2 linked regions of the Schizosaccharomyces pombe genome follow. The protein of the gene in region 1 interacts with the protein of each later gene in a biochemical or structural test. Each region holds a gene or a part of one and is shown in the gene's direction. Other genes may lie near its edges. The genes, in order: ulp2 and pmt3.

Evidence for each region.
Region 2: of the proteins of ulp2 (region 1) and pmt3, one has a biochemical effect on the other in vitro, tested with the Schizosaccharomyces pombe proteins (one study listed by BioGRID).

What each region holds. Positions count from the first base shown.
Region 1 is NC_003424.3:1,762,955-1,768,965, reverse strand, and holds ulp2 (SUMO deconjugating cysteine peptidase Ulp2), read left to right. Parts: upstream 1-2,232; 5' UTR 2,233-2,254; coding exon 2,255-2,275; exon of another isoform or gene 2,276-2,321; coding exon 2,322-2,377; exon of another isoform or gene 2,378-2,435; coding exon 2,436-2,629; exon of another isoform or gene 2,630-2,710; intron 2,711-2,777; coding exon 2,778-3,624; intron 3,625-3,693; coding exon 3,694-3,798; intron 3,799-3,799; exon of another isoform or gene 3,800-3,852; coding exon 3,853-4,089; intron 4,090-4,173; coding exon 4,174-4,630; 3' UTR 4,631-4,733; downstream 4,734-6,011. Other genes in the region: erp2 (COPII-coated vesicle-associated protein Erp2/3/4), read right to left, coding at 547-1,179; transcription factor TFIIH complex ERCC-3 subunit Ptr8, read right to left, coding at 4,765-6,011.
Region 2 is NC_003423.3:2,504,619-2,511,666, forward strand, and holds pmt3 (small ubiquitin-like modifier pmt3), read left to right. Parts: upstream 1-2,226; 5' UTR 2,227-2,275; coding exon 2,276-2,404; exon of another isoform or gene 2,405-2,498; coding exon 2,499-2,648; exon of another isoform or gene 2,649-2,697; coding exon 2,698-2,772; 3' UTR 2,773-2,941; coding exon of another isoform or gene 2,942-4,585; 3' UTR 4,586-5,040; coding exon of another isoform or gene 5,041-5,382; 3' UTR 5,383-5,432; coding exon of another isoform or gene 5,433-5,527; intron 5,528-5,545; 3' UTR 5,546-5,578; downstream 5,579-7,048. Other genes in the region: SPOM_SPBC365.04C (RNA-binding and ribosome biogenesis protein), read right to left, coding at 1-380; splicing factor Slu7, read right to left, coding at 689-1,828; tmf1 (TATA element modulatory factor-like protein), read right to left, coding at 2,942-4,585; Der1 family protein, read right to left, coding at 5,041-5,382, 5,433-5,527, 5,579-5,816; kin17 (KIN17-like protein), read right to left, coding at 6,167-7,048.

The sequences.
Region 1 (6,011 bases):
ATGAGCTTTTGCGTCTTCTCCGTTTACGTTTTTTATTCATTTCTATTCCCCTTTTTTGCCCTTTTCACTTTGGTTGTACAGTTGTTCTGCTCGGTTTATATTAAAACCTTTCTTATGAACTTCAAATAGTTTAACGGCTTTCATTTCATTTTTATGCCCTTTTAGCAGTCTAATCCTTCATTTATGGCCGCTAACCCTACCCATTCTTTTTTTTTCATAGTATACAATTTTTTATACTTAAATACTCATTAAGCACATTTTTTCTTTATTTCGTTGATAGGTTGCTTAAATTTGTATGAAACACGAATACAGTTGTAAAATGCAATGAAGGAAATAATAATATTGCTTAGTGGAAAATACTTCAACTACAAGAAATTGTAATCCTTGATTTAATAAAGACGCATGTCGATTGTCTTATTTAAATCCTGGCATAATAATATAATCCTGAATAAAACAATAGAGCTATAAGCTTCGTTAAGACTGATTAAAGGCATACATAGGCATGACAGATATGAATATTGTTAGAAAGGTGACCGACTAGTCAGTTTATACACCTCTCCGACCAGATCGTTTAAAGAATGTCTTTACAATAAAGACTTGAAGAGCAGAAAGAGCGACAACCATTATAGATTCAGCAAGACTAAACCAAAAGATGCGGGCTTGAGTAGACTTTACAGTAGAATAATTACGATGCTCCCGAGTTTTGAAGTAATTTTGTACACGGTCAATTTCAGATAATGCGGTTGAGATCTCTAAAACAGTACTTTGCATGCTGTCCTTTTTGTAGTCTTTGGCTTCATCACGGGTTAATGCAGGAAGAGAAAGTTCATTTTCCATAGTGATTTCCATAGTCACAATTTTATCAGTAAACGTAGACATATGATTATCAAAACAGAATTCATATTCACCCTTTTCTTCGAGGGTGAAAAATACATCAGCCTGTCTTCTCTTTTTGCCAAGTGCAACGGTCTTCTGAGATGGTGCCTTGATCATATAATCGACATCAAAAGAACCGCCAGACTGAACAGCGTACGTGAAATGTGTTTTTTCGCCAGTGTGAAAAGAATCTAAGTAGTAACACTGCTTCTCTTGGTTTTCTAACTTGAATGTTAACTCAATAGCCGAAGCTAAGCTGGCGAGCAAAAATAGTGTTATGCCGCTTAGAGTAATTACGCGCATTTTCTATAAAGTAAGGTTAATCTTCAAAAATTTAATATAACTTTTAATTCCAATGTATCAAAACAAATTCACTTACGATATGTGAGTAGTTTTATGCTCAGCTGCAGAGTAGGCTGTTGCTACGTTGAGTGTTGACAGTGTGGAATATGCTGTATCGCAAAAGGCAAGTATCGATAGCGTTCTGGGAATATAAATTAGAGTATTAGTCTTAATAAATACTCTTAAAACAATTTTACAAATTTTTCTTCTTTTAATCATTTACAAAATTGTTTATGAAAATGAGTATAAACCCAGAATCATCAGCATACTAATAACAAATAGTAAACCTTCGAAAAATAAAAGCAGAAGTTTTTCTTCTTAATTATCAAAATAATTTGGTGGTTTTAAATGATCTAGTCCCAAACATAGTTTAGAAAGGAAATCGTTCAAAACTAACTTTCTTTACTATGATATCATATAATAAATATTCAAGTAATATTGGTATTATTATACTTCTTCATGATATTATACAAAGGTCAAACAGGTTTTCATGCGTGAATGTCCCATGCTCTTACTTGTTCTTAATGTATTGTTGTTATTTTTTTTTATAATTTACATTGATTTTAATGCGACTATGGTTGCAATTGACTAATGTATCTAATGCATTCGTAAATCAGAGATAAATACAAGTTTAAATAAACGATCTGTAAAATATATTCTAGTCAATAAAAAGAATTTAGAATAGTTTACAAAAAATCATTTTCTTGGAAGTTAACAGCAACATTTTGTTCGCTATTCGTTATTAAAAAATCAAAACAATCGTAATATGATTAATCAAAGGTTAGGAAGAAATCAGCTTAAAAAGCAACTATGCCTTTCGTTTTTTATTCATTTACATTGAGTTAAAGACACTGTTAGAGATACTTACATCCTTTGCATTGGTTGATACCCTTTATTTACATTGTTTTACCCAGATCATCTACCGCAAAATAATGAATCCTTATGTTTTATTTGGACGCGCTGTGGCTCACAAAACCTGTGCCATTGATTAAGTAGTAGGCTTCTCTATCTCGCCAAAACAGGTATGTCATGAAGAATGAGAGATTCCAAAGATGCCGTATGTTATTCTTTTTCGTTTCTTTTTCTTACTAACTATTTTTTAGCTGGATGATAAATCAGGGTCATTCACTAGTCTTCTTCCCCCGTTTGGAAAACAAAGGTTTGACTTTACCTCGTCTTTTAATTCACATTCCTATATTAATATTTTTACAATCTAGAGGTACTAGCCCAAATGATGCTATTCCTATTAAGAGCCCGCTAGAAAGGCTAGCGAATAGTGTAACATCCCCGGAAAAGCCAACGGTTCGAACTGCTATACAGAAGGATTCACCAAGGCGGAAGCAGATAGATGATGATCAAACACCTCCTAAGCACTTAAAACGCTCTTTTCAAAATGTTACAGTGGTTTCTCGTAAGTCGCAACTTTTTTGCTCTGATCCATGTGTAAAGCATGAGGAAATGCAAAATGTTTAGAACAATTCCTCTTCTTCAGTATCAATAATTGATTTTTTAAAATAAAAACTAACTTATTTTTGCCTCTTTTTGGCTACTTTGTTTAGCACGAAAAAAGAAAACAATTGATGTGGTCGAGCTGCCTTTCACAAAAGGGGGTTATGGAGGTTTTTACGATCCTAGGCCTGGGTGTTTAAAATTTACTACCCATGAAATAAATGTTTCTTACACAGATACTAGCATTCCAGTCATTCACATCCCTGTCCAATTGTTGAAGCGGTGTTGCTGGCTTCAAGGATGGAGAGACAATTTGGTGGAATCTCCAGTACATGCTATTCATTTAACCTTAAAAAATAGAGATATGAAAAGAATTACGATAGGTGATTCTGCCAGTTTATTATTTTTATACAACCCATTACATGTAGAATCCGCTAGAGCTGGCCTTGATCTTTTGGACCAATCTGACTTTTCTTTAACATCTCCTAGTTCGGCTAAAGAATTTAAACAATTATTGACTTTAAAACAATCCACGATCATCCCTCGCACTCCCCAGAAAACTGTAAGGTCAATTGTTAAACAGACCTCGTCTCCACATTCCTCAAAAATGCCTAAACATTCCCTTCCATCCTCGCCAACTCCATTTAATTCCAATTCTGGTGACTCTCTTCTTTCCAGGATTAAAAATTCGAACCAGTCATCGTCAGAGCGTCCAACGGCAAATAACGGAGCTCAAGAGCAAAATCAGTCATCAAGTTCTGCTGGAAACACTTCCAATGACTTTTCAACTTTATGTTCTCAAGGTTCTGATAAAACACTTCTGTCTGATGCATCTTGTACCACTATTCTCGTATATCCGTTTTCTGGAACAAATTCAATTGCCATTACTAATACCGACCTTACAAGACTCAATGAGGGAGAATTTTTAAACGATACTATTGTTGATTTTTATTTGAGGTAAGTTTTTTTTTTTTTTTTTTTTTTTTTTTTTTGGAATCTTCGCTTCTTTTAACCTCAAAAATTTAGATATTTATACTGTAAATTACAAACACAAAATCCTTCTTTGGCCAATGACACTCATATTTTTAACACATTTTTCTATAATCGTCTTACTTCAAAAGATAAAGATGGGTATGTAACAGGCTTTACTTCTATCAATTATTTGATCACTAATGGGTAATATAGCAAGCGGCTAGGTCATAGAGGAGTTCGAAAGTGGACTCAAAAAGTTGACCTTTTCCATAAAAAATACATTATTGTTCCTATCAATGAAACATTTCATTGGTATCTAGCTATTATCTGCAACATTGATCGATTAATGCCTGTGGACACAAAACTGGAAGAGCAGGATGAAATAGTTATGTCGTCTGTGGAACAACCGTCTGCTTCAAAGACTAGACAAGCAGAATTAACGAGCAATAGGTATGTTAAAGGTTTACAATTTTATTGATTAAAAGGAAAAATATATCATAAATCATTTGATTCAGTTTACTAAGTTAATTATAGTCCAGCAATTTTGATTTTTGATTCTTTAGCAAATCTTCATAAAGGAGCATTAAATTACTTACGTGAATATTTACTGGAAGAAGCTTTCGAAAGGAAAAATGTACATCTTAAGTCCACTGATATACGGGGGTTTCATGCAAAAGTCCCGCAACAAAGCAATTTTTCTGATTGTGGTATATATGCGTTACATTTCGTCGAACTATTTCTTGAAACTCCTGAGCAAGTGATAGCCAATACTTTAGATAAATCTCTTAGACGGACGGATGCTAAAAACTTCGACCAACAGTGGAACCTTCAAAAGATTAACACGATGAGATGCGATTTGAAGGGTTTAATTCGCCGTCTGTCAACTGAGTGGTCGTCTAACAATGAACGACAATCGCTTAGCAGCGGAAGCAACGATGAAGAAGATAAAGAAAATGATGATGATTTGGCAATATTGCCAATCACAAATTAGAATTTACAAGGGAATTAGGGAAATCATAATTTCATATTAAAACTTAACGAAAGCATTATTATCAAAAATTTTAGCGTAGAAAAATCAACAAAATTCATGTCTATATCGTGTGTATGCTAGCATGTATAACTTCGCTAGCGACGTTTAGTATACAGGTGCTTCCGAAATAAGGCATGATGTTCTTTACTGTCCTTTTTCAGCTGTTTATTAGCACTCTTGTTATATTCCACGTATGCCATATTGTCGGCACCAGCCAATGTACTTAAAGAACCACTAGAACGTTTAGCTTTCGCCGGTGCTCTAGAGAGACTTCTGGATCCAAAGCTAGTATCCTCACCGTCATCCAAATCAGCTGCTTCTTCATTTTGTAGCAATACTTCCTGCAAAAGCTCAAGTCTCTCCGCTTTGGAGGCGTAAGCCAAATTTGGCAAGTTCTCCATACCCTTTAAATTAGTGATGACTTTAAAAGCATAGCCTTGGTCAATTAAAAATGCTTGCCGTTTACTGGAATAATACATTTCCTGAGTGTCTTTAGATACCAAGCTATAGAAAAATGCGTTAAAGCCTTCATCATTTCGTCGCTTGGCACGAAGAATACGCCCCAAACGTTGAGCTTCTTGACGCCTAGAACCATAATGAGAAGAAATCTGAATCAAACAGGTTGCTTCAGGAAGATCAATAGACGTATCACCAACTTTAGAAAGGAAAATGGTATTTACAAGTTCATTATACTGGAAATTTTCCAAAATCCTCATTCTTTCCTGCTGTGGAGTTCCACCATAAATAAAATATTTGCCTAATTTTATTGCATAAGCACGCAAAGCATAGACATTGTCTGAAAAAACGATAATTTTATCACCACGTTTTTCGTGATAATCGATGAGGAATTGACAAGCCTGAAATTTTTTAGGATTCATGATATAAAGTAGCATTCTTTTTCGGGAGTTTTCTCGAAGATATTCATTATAAAACTCAGTGGTCATCGCGCACCAAACTTCGGCGCATTGAACCTTAGCGATGTGACCTTTTTGTGCCAAATCCATCCAATTTGCTTCGTACATTTTAGGCCCAATCAAAAAATTTAAATCATCAATTTTATCATCCTCACGAACTAACGTAGCAGTTAACCCAAGCTTTGTGTGAGCGGCAATTGTGGTGACAACTCGCCGAAACATGGCAGCAGGAACCACATGTACTTCGTCTAATAGGATAAACCCCCATTCACGTCCCGTAAGAAAATCCATCATTTTTTGAGAATCATAGGATCTATTCCTGGTATTGGCAACCATTGAGTACGTGGAGACAACCACACCTGCTTCGCTGTGAAACCGTTCTTTGTGATCAGCAGTAAAAACCGCAATGTGATCAGGCTTGATGTTGC
Region 2 (7,048 bases), on another chromosome or scaffold:
TTATCGGTAGGAATACGAACCGAAGGAACTTGACCTGCGCGTTTGAAATGAAGTTGTAGAGTTTCAACAGAAGAATCCTTAGGCAAATTACCAACAAACAAAATGACCTTTCTGTCATTATTTTTCCCTTTCTGTCGTTTGCTTTTCAAAGTTTTATGAGGGGGATTTGAAACGCTATGTTTATCTTTATCATTTGATTGTGCTAGTTGCTTTTCTGGTAGTTCATCTCTCGATATTTTGTCAGCGGCTTTCTTTTCTAATTCCTCATTCTTTTGCTGTACTTTCTTCTCATGCTCTTCCAAACTTTGCGACTTTTTATCAAATTTTTTGGAGCGGTATTCCAAAGATTTTAATTTCTTTTTCGATAGTTTCGAAGACATTAAATAAAAATTTGATAATGGAGAATTGAAGGTGTTCAGTACAAAAGTTCCTCTATCCATAGGCAAGAATATTTTAACGATGTTTACCCTTCTGACAGAATGTATACATAACAAAGTTTCTTAAAACTTCGTTAAACAAATCTGGAAAGTACAATTGCACCATCGCTAGACAATATCAGAAGTCTCTTGTTCAACGAAGTAAGATAAAATTTAAAGAAATAATAACAAGTTAATTAGTGTTATATTTAGAAAAATGTCATTGCAGTACATTCAGTCATTATTAGATATTATTAGATATATAAATAAAATCATAAGTCCCCTTCAACAATAACTAAGTTTTCGGATTCTTCATCTGTGTTCGACTCTCCTTTGCTTTTTTCAGATTTATCAAGAATAGCTAAATCCGGAACTTCTTTTTCGTTATTTTTTGCTTTTTTGTCTTTCACTTTAGAGGTACCATCCCCATAACGATCTAATATGCTTTGATCAATATGTTTCTGGGTAGTCATACGAGATGCCTTGTTTTTTCGAAATTCCAGCTCACCAGCTGTTGGATTGGCTACAACATGGACACGAGTTCCAGAACGCTCAGCTTCCCAGGCAAACATTTGTAGTTTTTCGAAGTCTTCTTTTTCACCACCAGATGCTTTGACAAAGCCAGCACCTCCAGAAGAATCATCCACCATATGATATCCAGTTTCGTCTCTCATTGATCTGGATTTGGGTTCATATTGTAAGTTTTTATTGTCAGCTCGCAAATACGCCACCACATCTTCTCGCATTCTAAGGCTTGGTGTAGTTATGGATGCAGAATCTTCGGAACCAGAAACGGTGGAATTTCTTGATGCTTTAACAGCAGAATTTTCTGACGCATCCCTATTCTCTTCCCCCTTATTTTGTAATTCGTCCAATTTTTCATATCTCTCAATAACTTTCTTATAATCCGTGGCATCATAGCCATTCCAACGATCACGTTTCGCATCCCATGAAACGTTGATATCTTGAATAACTTCGTCTGCTTGAATATCTTCTCCTGTCCAACGAGCACCCCGCTTTCTTGGTCGCTCCATGCAATCTTTAACTTTATGGGACATGGCTCCACAATTCTCACAAGCACCCTTTCGATATTTTGTAGCAGCAGGTCCTAATTTTTTCCCTCTAACGTACCAAGAGCCTTCAATGGAGGAACGACCACCACTTGGTGTCTCTTTCTTGCCTATCCTTTGATGGGCTAATCTTTCGACCGCATCATCATCCTGAGCATACCAAGGAGCGGTTGAAATGAATTTAGGAATATAGGGATTATCAGCATCTGGATTATCCATAGGACGACTACGACGCTTCTGTGCCTTCATTTCACGCATCGAAGGTCCAATGTCTGTTGACATAAAGTTTTTGTCCTTAGAATAATCATAATTAGATTGAAAAGTATTATTCATATAAGACATTTTTAAGGTAAATAAATAAGAATATTAATGCTTGATTATTATGCCAATTAATTCGAAAATATTAAAAAGATTCAAGTAAAGGTTTAACACCGATGAAATCAACAAAATTGTCTTTTATAACAAAACGATATAAACCGGCTTATTTATCGACGGCTTTATTTTTATAGTTCGACAAATATTTGCTAGCGTTTCAAAAATTCTTGTAGATTTGCAGTTTACGGTTTTCTAACCATTGTTATAAGCAGAGTAAACGTAGTAAGCAAATAATTAACGTAGCTTTAAGACACAACTAAACAAAATAGTGGAGTAGATTTATACACGTTATATTATATACCACATTACGCTATTCTTGCTTCAAACAATCACAACAGTCATTCCTGATCTATGAGAATTTGATTGTACCCCCCTGTACCTGTATATTCGATTTTATATAGTATCTGAGAAAAAATGTCTGAATCACCATCAGCAAACATTTCTGATGCTGACAAAAGTGCTATCACTCCTACCACAGGTGACACTTCGCAACAAGATGTCAAACCATCCACAGAGCATATCAATTTGAAAGTTGTCGGACAGGTGTGTGCTACAGCAAGAGACTTTCATGCTATTCCTGTCATCTTTTGCTTTCAAAAGTCTTTAATGCACGAATCGTGAAGCTAACTTGATGTAGGATAACAACGAAGTATTTTTCAAAATTAAAAAGACCACTGAGTTCAGCAAGTTAATGAAGATTTATTGTGCACGACAAGGAAAAAGTATGAACAGCTTACGTTTCCTTGTTGATGGGGAACGTATTCGTCCAGATCAAACACCTGCTGAGGTAAGTTTTAAACTTTTACAACAAAAGCCGGTACTAACTATACATTTAGCTTGATATGGAAGATGGCGATCAAATTGAGGCTGTCTTAGAACAGTTAGGTGGTTGCACCCATCTATGCCTTTAGAGTACAAGTATTTTTAAGCTGTTTCATATACTCAAAACTAATATTTTGATTTTGCCAATACGTTTATCATCTCCAGCATCGTCGCTCAAAATATTTGAAAGAATCAATGAAATTAAATAAAATGATTTATATTAAAATTATTTTTTTTTAATACAAGTTTTTCCAAACGTTATTGCCTGCCTGCCAATATATCAATTTGACTGACATAAAGTTCACGCATATCCTTAATGTCCAGCTCTAATTCAAACACTTTGTCACTTTTCTGCTTAAGTGTTACCAACGTACTGGCATGCTCTTTTTCGAGGTTCTGTAATTGTAGTCTAAGCTCTTCCACTTGCTTTTTTGAATCTTCATTTGCATCATTATTTACATAGGCATCAACAATTTCTTGACGGGCCTGATCTCTTTGGATTATAAGTTGCGCTACTTGCTGCTTAGTTGTTTGTAGTTCGGCTTCTAATCGGCGAATTGTGGTAGCAAGTTGCTCCAAAAGACTAACATCAGGAACATTCCCGGCACCTTTTTCAAGATTGCTGGGTGTCCCTGATGTTGGTGATATTGCCTCAGATTCGTATAGGCTAAATTTTCTTGAAGCTTCCGAAGGAGGAGAAAGAACTGCACTGCTTATGGAAGCATACCTTGACTGAGCGTTTATACCCAACTTTCGCGCTTCTGATGCTGATCTGGAAATTCTGGATCTCTCTTCTGAAGGGGAAGGAAGATTATCCAAAAAGTTTTCTAAAGCATTCCGTGTATCGCTTTGTGGGATTTCTGAAAAACTCAAAGGAGATGGTTGCGGACTTGTTGAAATATTTAAGGGATGTAGGTCGTCAAAATAATTATCTTTGTCATTTTCTAAAGCTTCATCACGCTTGCTCATAGATGAAGGTATCGGAATAGCATTAGTAGGGGTAGTGGGATCTTCATCTTCTTTGGTGACTTTAAGCGTATCTACCTTTCCAACCGTATAATCATTATTTTCAGGAATTCCTCCTGTAGTGACAATTTTTTTAGGCTTAGATTTAACATTACTTCTTATATTAGTGTCAAGCTCCCTTTGTAATCGGTCTAGTTGTGTTTGTAAGTCCAAATTTTGGGCTGCTAAAGTATCATTTTCCTCTCTCAATGTCATATTAAAAGCCTGAGAACTCCTTATTTCTTCATCTTTCCTTTCACAAAGTTTCTCCAATGAATCTAACTGTTTAGACATTTGAGATACTTGATTCTGGAAAGTCTCACGTTCCCTTTCCCAATTCTTTGCACCATGCTCGGATTTCTCATAAAGTTCTTTCAGGTCTTGAATTTCCTTTTTCTTCTTTTCATCTTCACGTACCCATTGACTCCTTTGAATCGAATACTGGGTTGAGAGGGTCTCTACTTGACGCGTAAGACGAACAACCTCCATGCTTTCTACTGTAAGTTCTTCCATTTTTCTTTGAAGATCCTCCTTTTCTTTCTCTAAAATTGATATCCTCTTTTCAAATTGAGACTTTTGTAGTTCCAATTGTTCCTCCATCTCCTTTGAGTCAGATACCTGTAATTCCGGAGTCGCTTGTTTCTCGTCTAGGCGCTTCAACTTTGTTTCAGCTTCACTTAAACTCTTTTTAAGTTGCTTAATTGTATTGTTTAACTTTAACTCATTTTTTGAAAGCGCCTGTCCTTCCGTAAGAAGCTTTGCGATAATCTCATCTTTTGATTTTGCATTTCCTCGTGACATCTCCTCAATCTGATTACCGTCTAAGACTTTGTCAATACTGGTTTCAACATTTGACATTGCTTTCTTAAGAAAACCTCCCCATTTTGAATTCTCCATGCCTGCTTCACCGTACACTGGCTGGTAGTTGATCTGTGTACTCTACGTGGTATAGGCCCACTTTACTTTATGAACGTAAAATAAAAGATTTCTAAGTGCATATGCCTCGCACGTCAATTTGTACATATGTTTACTTTAGTCTATTGGTGAAGGATAAAAAAAGAAATTTAGATAAGAACATTATAATAAAGGGCTACATTTCAACAAATTAGTGTAGTTCGGATTTTTAGCTATCAGCATATGAATGAGAAAGCCGTCGTGTTCGTACAGGAAAGAAGTGAAATATTATTCATCAAAAATTTGAAATAGTGGAACTCATTGATGCATTATTGAAAATTGTGAAAGTTTGCCTACCAGACTCGACAGGTGATGAATGGAGTAAGAAATATTGATAAAAATTTCGAACACGTATCGACTGTTTTTAACGCACTTAATGAAATCATCAATATGAAAAATTAAGTGCCTAACTTTTTGCCCTTCCCAATGAATGTTCCAGACACCTTTTGGGAATTCAATTTGGGAGAGTTGGAGCGATGGACAACAGGAGTGTGAATCGAATCAAAAAAATTGACGATCATTGCAGAGATAATACCAAAACCCAATACTACTAGAGATGGAAGACCTCCGGTTAGAAAGCTGAAGCCAAGAAGAACATATGGCAAATATTTGCCTTGAACATGAAAACCAAACAAAAACTGGATTTTGGAAAATGAGTTAAACAAAGACCAATTATAAGCAATGGCAGCGGCAAGCGATTGATTTAACGCGCTTCCAAGTCCTGAGATCAAGGAAAATGCCTAAAGAGAAACGTTAATAAGCATACTTTAGACCTTCAAATACTCCTTACATCAATTAAAAGAGCAACTTTAACTAAATAAATAATGTATTTTTTTGCATTCCTAGCAAAGACAAAGTTTTCCAGGTATGTGCTATATTGGTAAACTATTGACAAAACGTTAGAATTTAAATACAGGTTTTAATGGATTTACGTACAAAAATAAATGTTCATGATAAAATCAAATCCAGTTCCAGCATAGAGATAATTAGTAAATAAACGATACCATTGTTTCTGACGAACGACTAACGGATAATGCAGAACTAGCATCGAAGGTGAAAGAAGTTGACATAAAGTTAAAATTGTGGTAGCTGCTGTTCCAAGCAGAATATACCTTGTTACAGGAGGTATTCTAGACAGCAATTCTTGTATTTGACCGGAAAATTCCGAAGCCATGTCTTAACTGATTATGTTTGTTCAGGCAAGGTTGTATACGGAATTGTGCTACAATTACTAACGTATCGAACATTTTCATATATATGTACTATAGTAAAATATAAGTTATTAAATCTCTAACTTAGATCAAGTGAAAGCAAAATTATATGAAATTTGGAGCTTTCATGTATTTTACAGCACCTTCAAATCAAGTAGACTAAGCTAGCAGAAAGGCTACTAAATAACACATATACGGTTAAATAAGCTACATTAAAAGTAAAAGTACAAGTACAAGCGTATTTTTTTTATAAATAATAAACCAATAAATAAATTCTCACTTTTGAAGCCTTTTAAAAACGTCAATTCTCCGGTTAGAGCTTTATATTGCGTCTTTTCTCTCTCATTGTTTCTTGAGCAATAATGTCTTCAACAGCTGACCGTGGCCTTTTTACATTCTGCCCTTGATCTAAAGAATCCTTATTGTTCTTTTTACGGCTTTTATTCAGCTCTGCAAAAACATTTTTTGGTTTGTGCTTCAAGGAGGTCTGGGAGGATGAACTAGAAAAAGAAAATGTGGGTGTATTTCTTGTTTGAAAAAATTCATTTTGAGCAGAGTGAGAATCTGAAGATGAGGATAAATTAAGTTGAATCGGGTTTCCTTTTTTTGAAAGATCAATCTCATGTAGTACAGGTTGCTCCCTTGAACTTCCATCCTTATTGTCCTCGTTATTCTGTGCTGATTCATAAGCACGCTTAATCTGTTCATCAAGCAAGCGAAGACGTTGTTCTTCATCAGATTTTTCTTGACGTTCTCGTTTCTTGTTAGCCTCATTTCTTAAGATATTAGCAGGGTTTTTATCAATATAAGAAATAAAAAAACCCTTTTCATTTTCTTCCACGCGACACATTCCTTGACGACCCAGAAATTTGCAAAACTCGCTAAGTGTATGCCATCGAGTAGCATTCATATGAACATGGTTTTTATCGCGGATATATTCTTGATAAAATTGGTTAAAATGAATCTTTTTCTCACCGTGAGCAGTCCTTAGAAGACTTATAAAATCTCGTAAAAATTGGTTGGAAAAATCTTGTATACGTTTGCCTGGGTTCATAGCAATTACATTCATCTGTCGAATATGACCTTCACTTTGCGTATGGCATTTAAATCCGTTTTCATCACGCATTTGCTTCTGACAAGCCGAACAATACCAACGTAAACGTTGTAAACCTTTACTTTTCAAAGCATTTGAAAT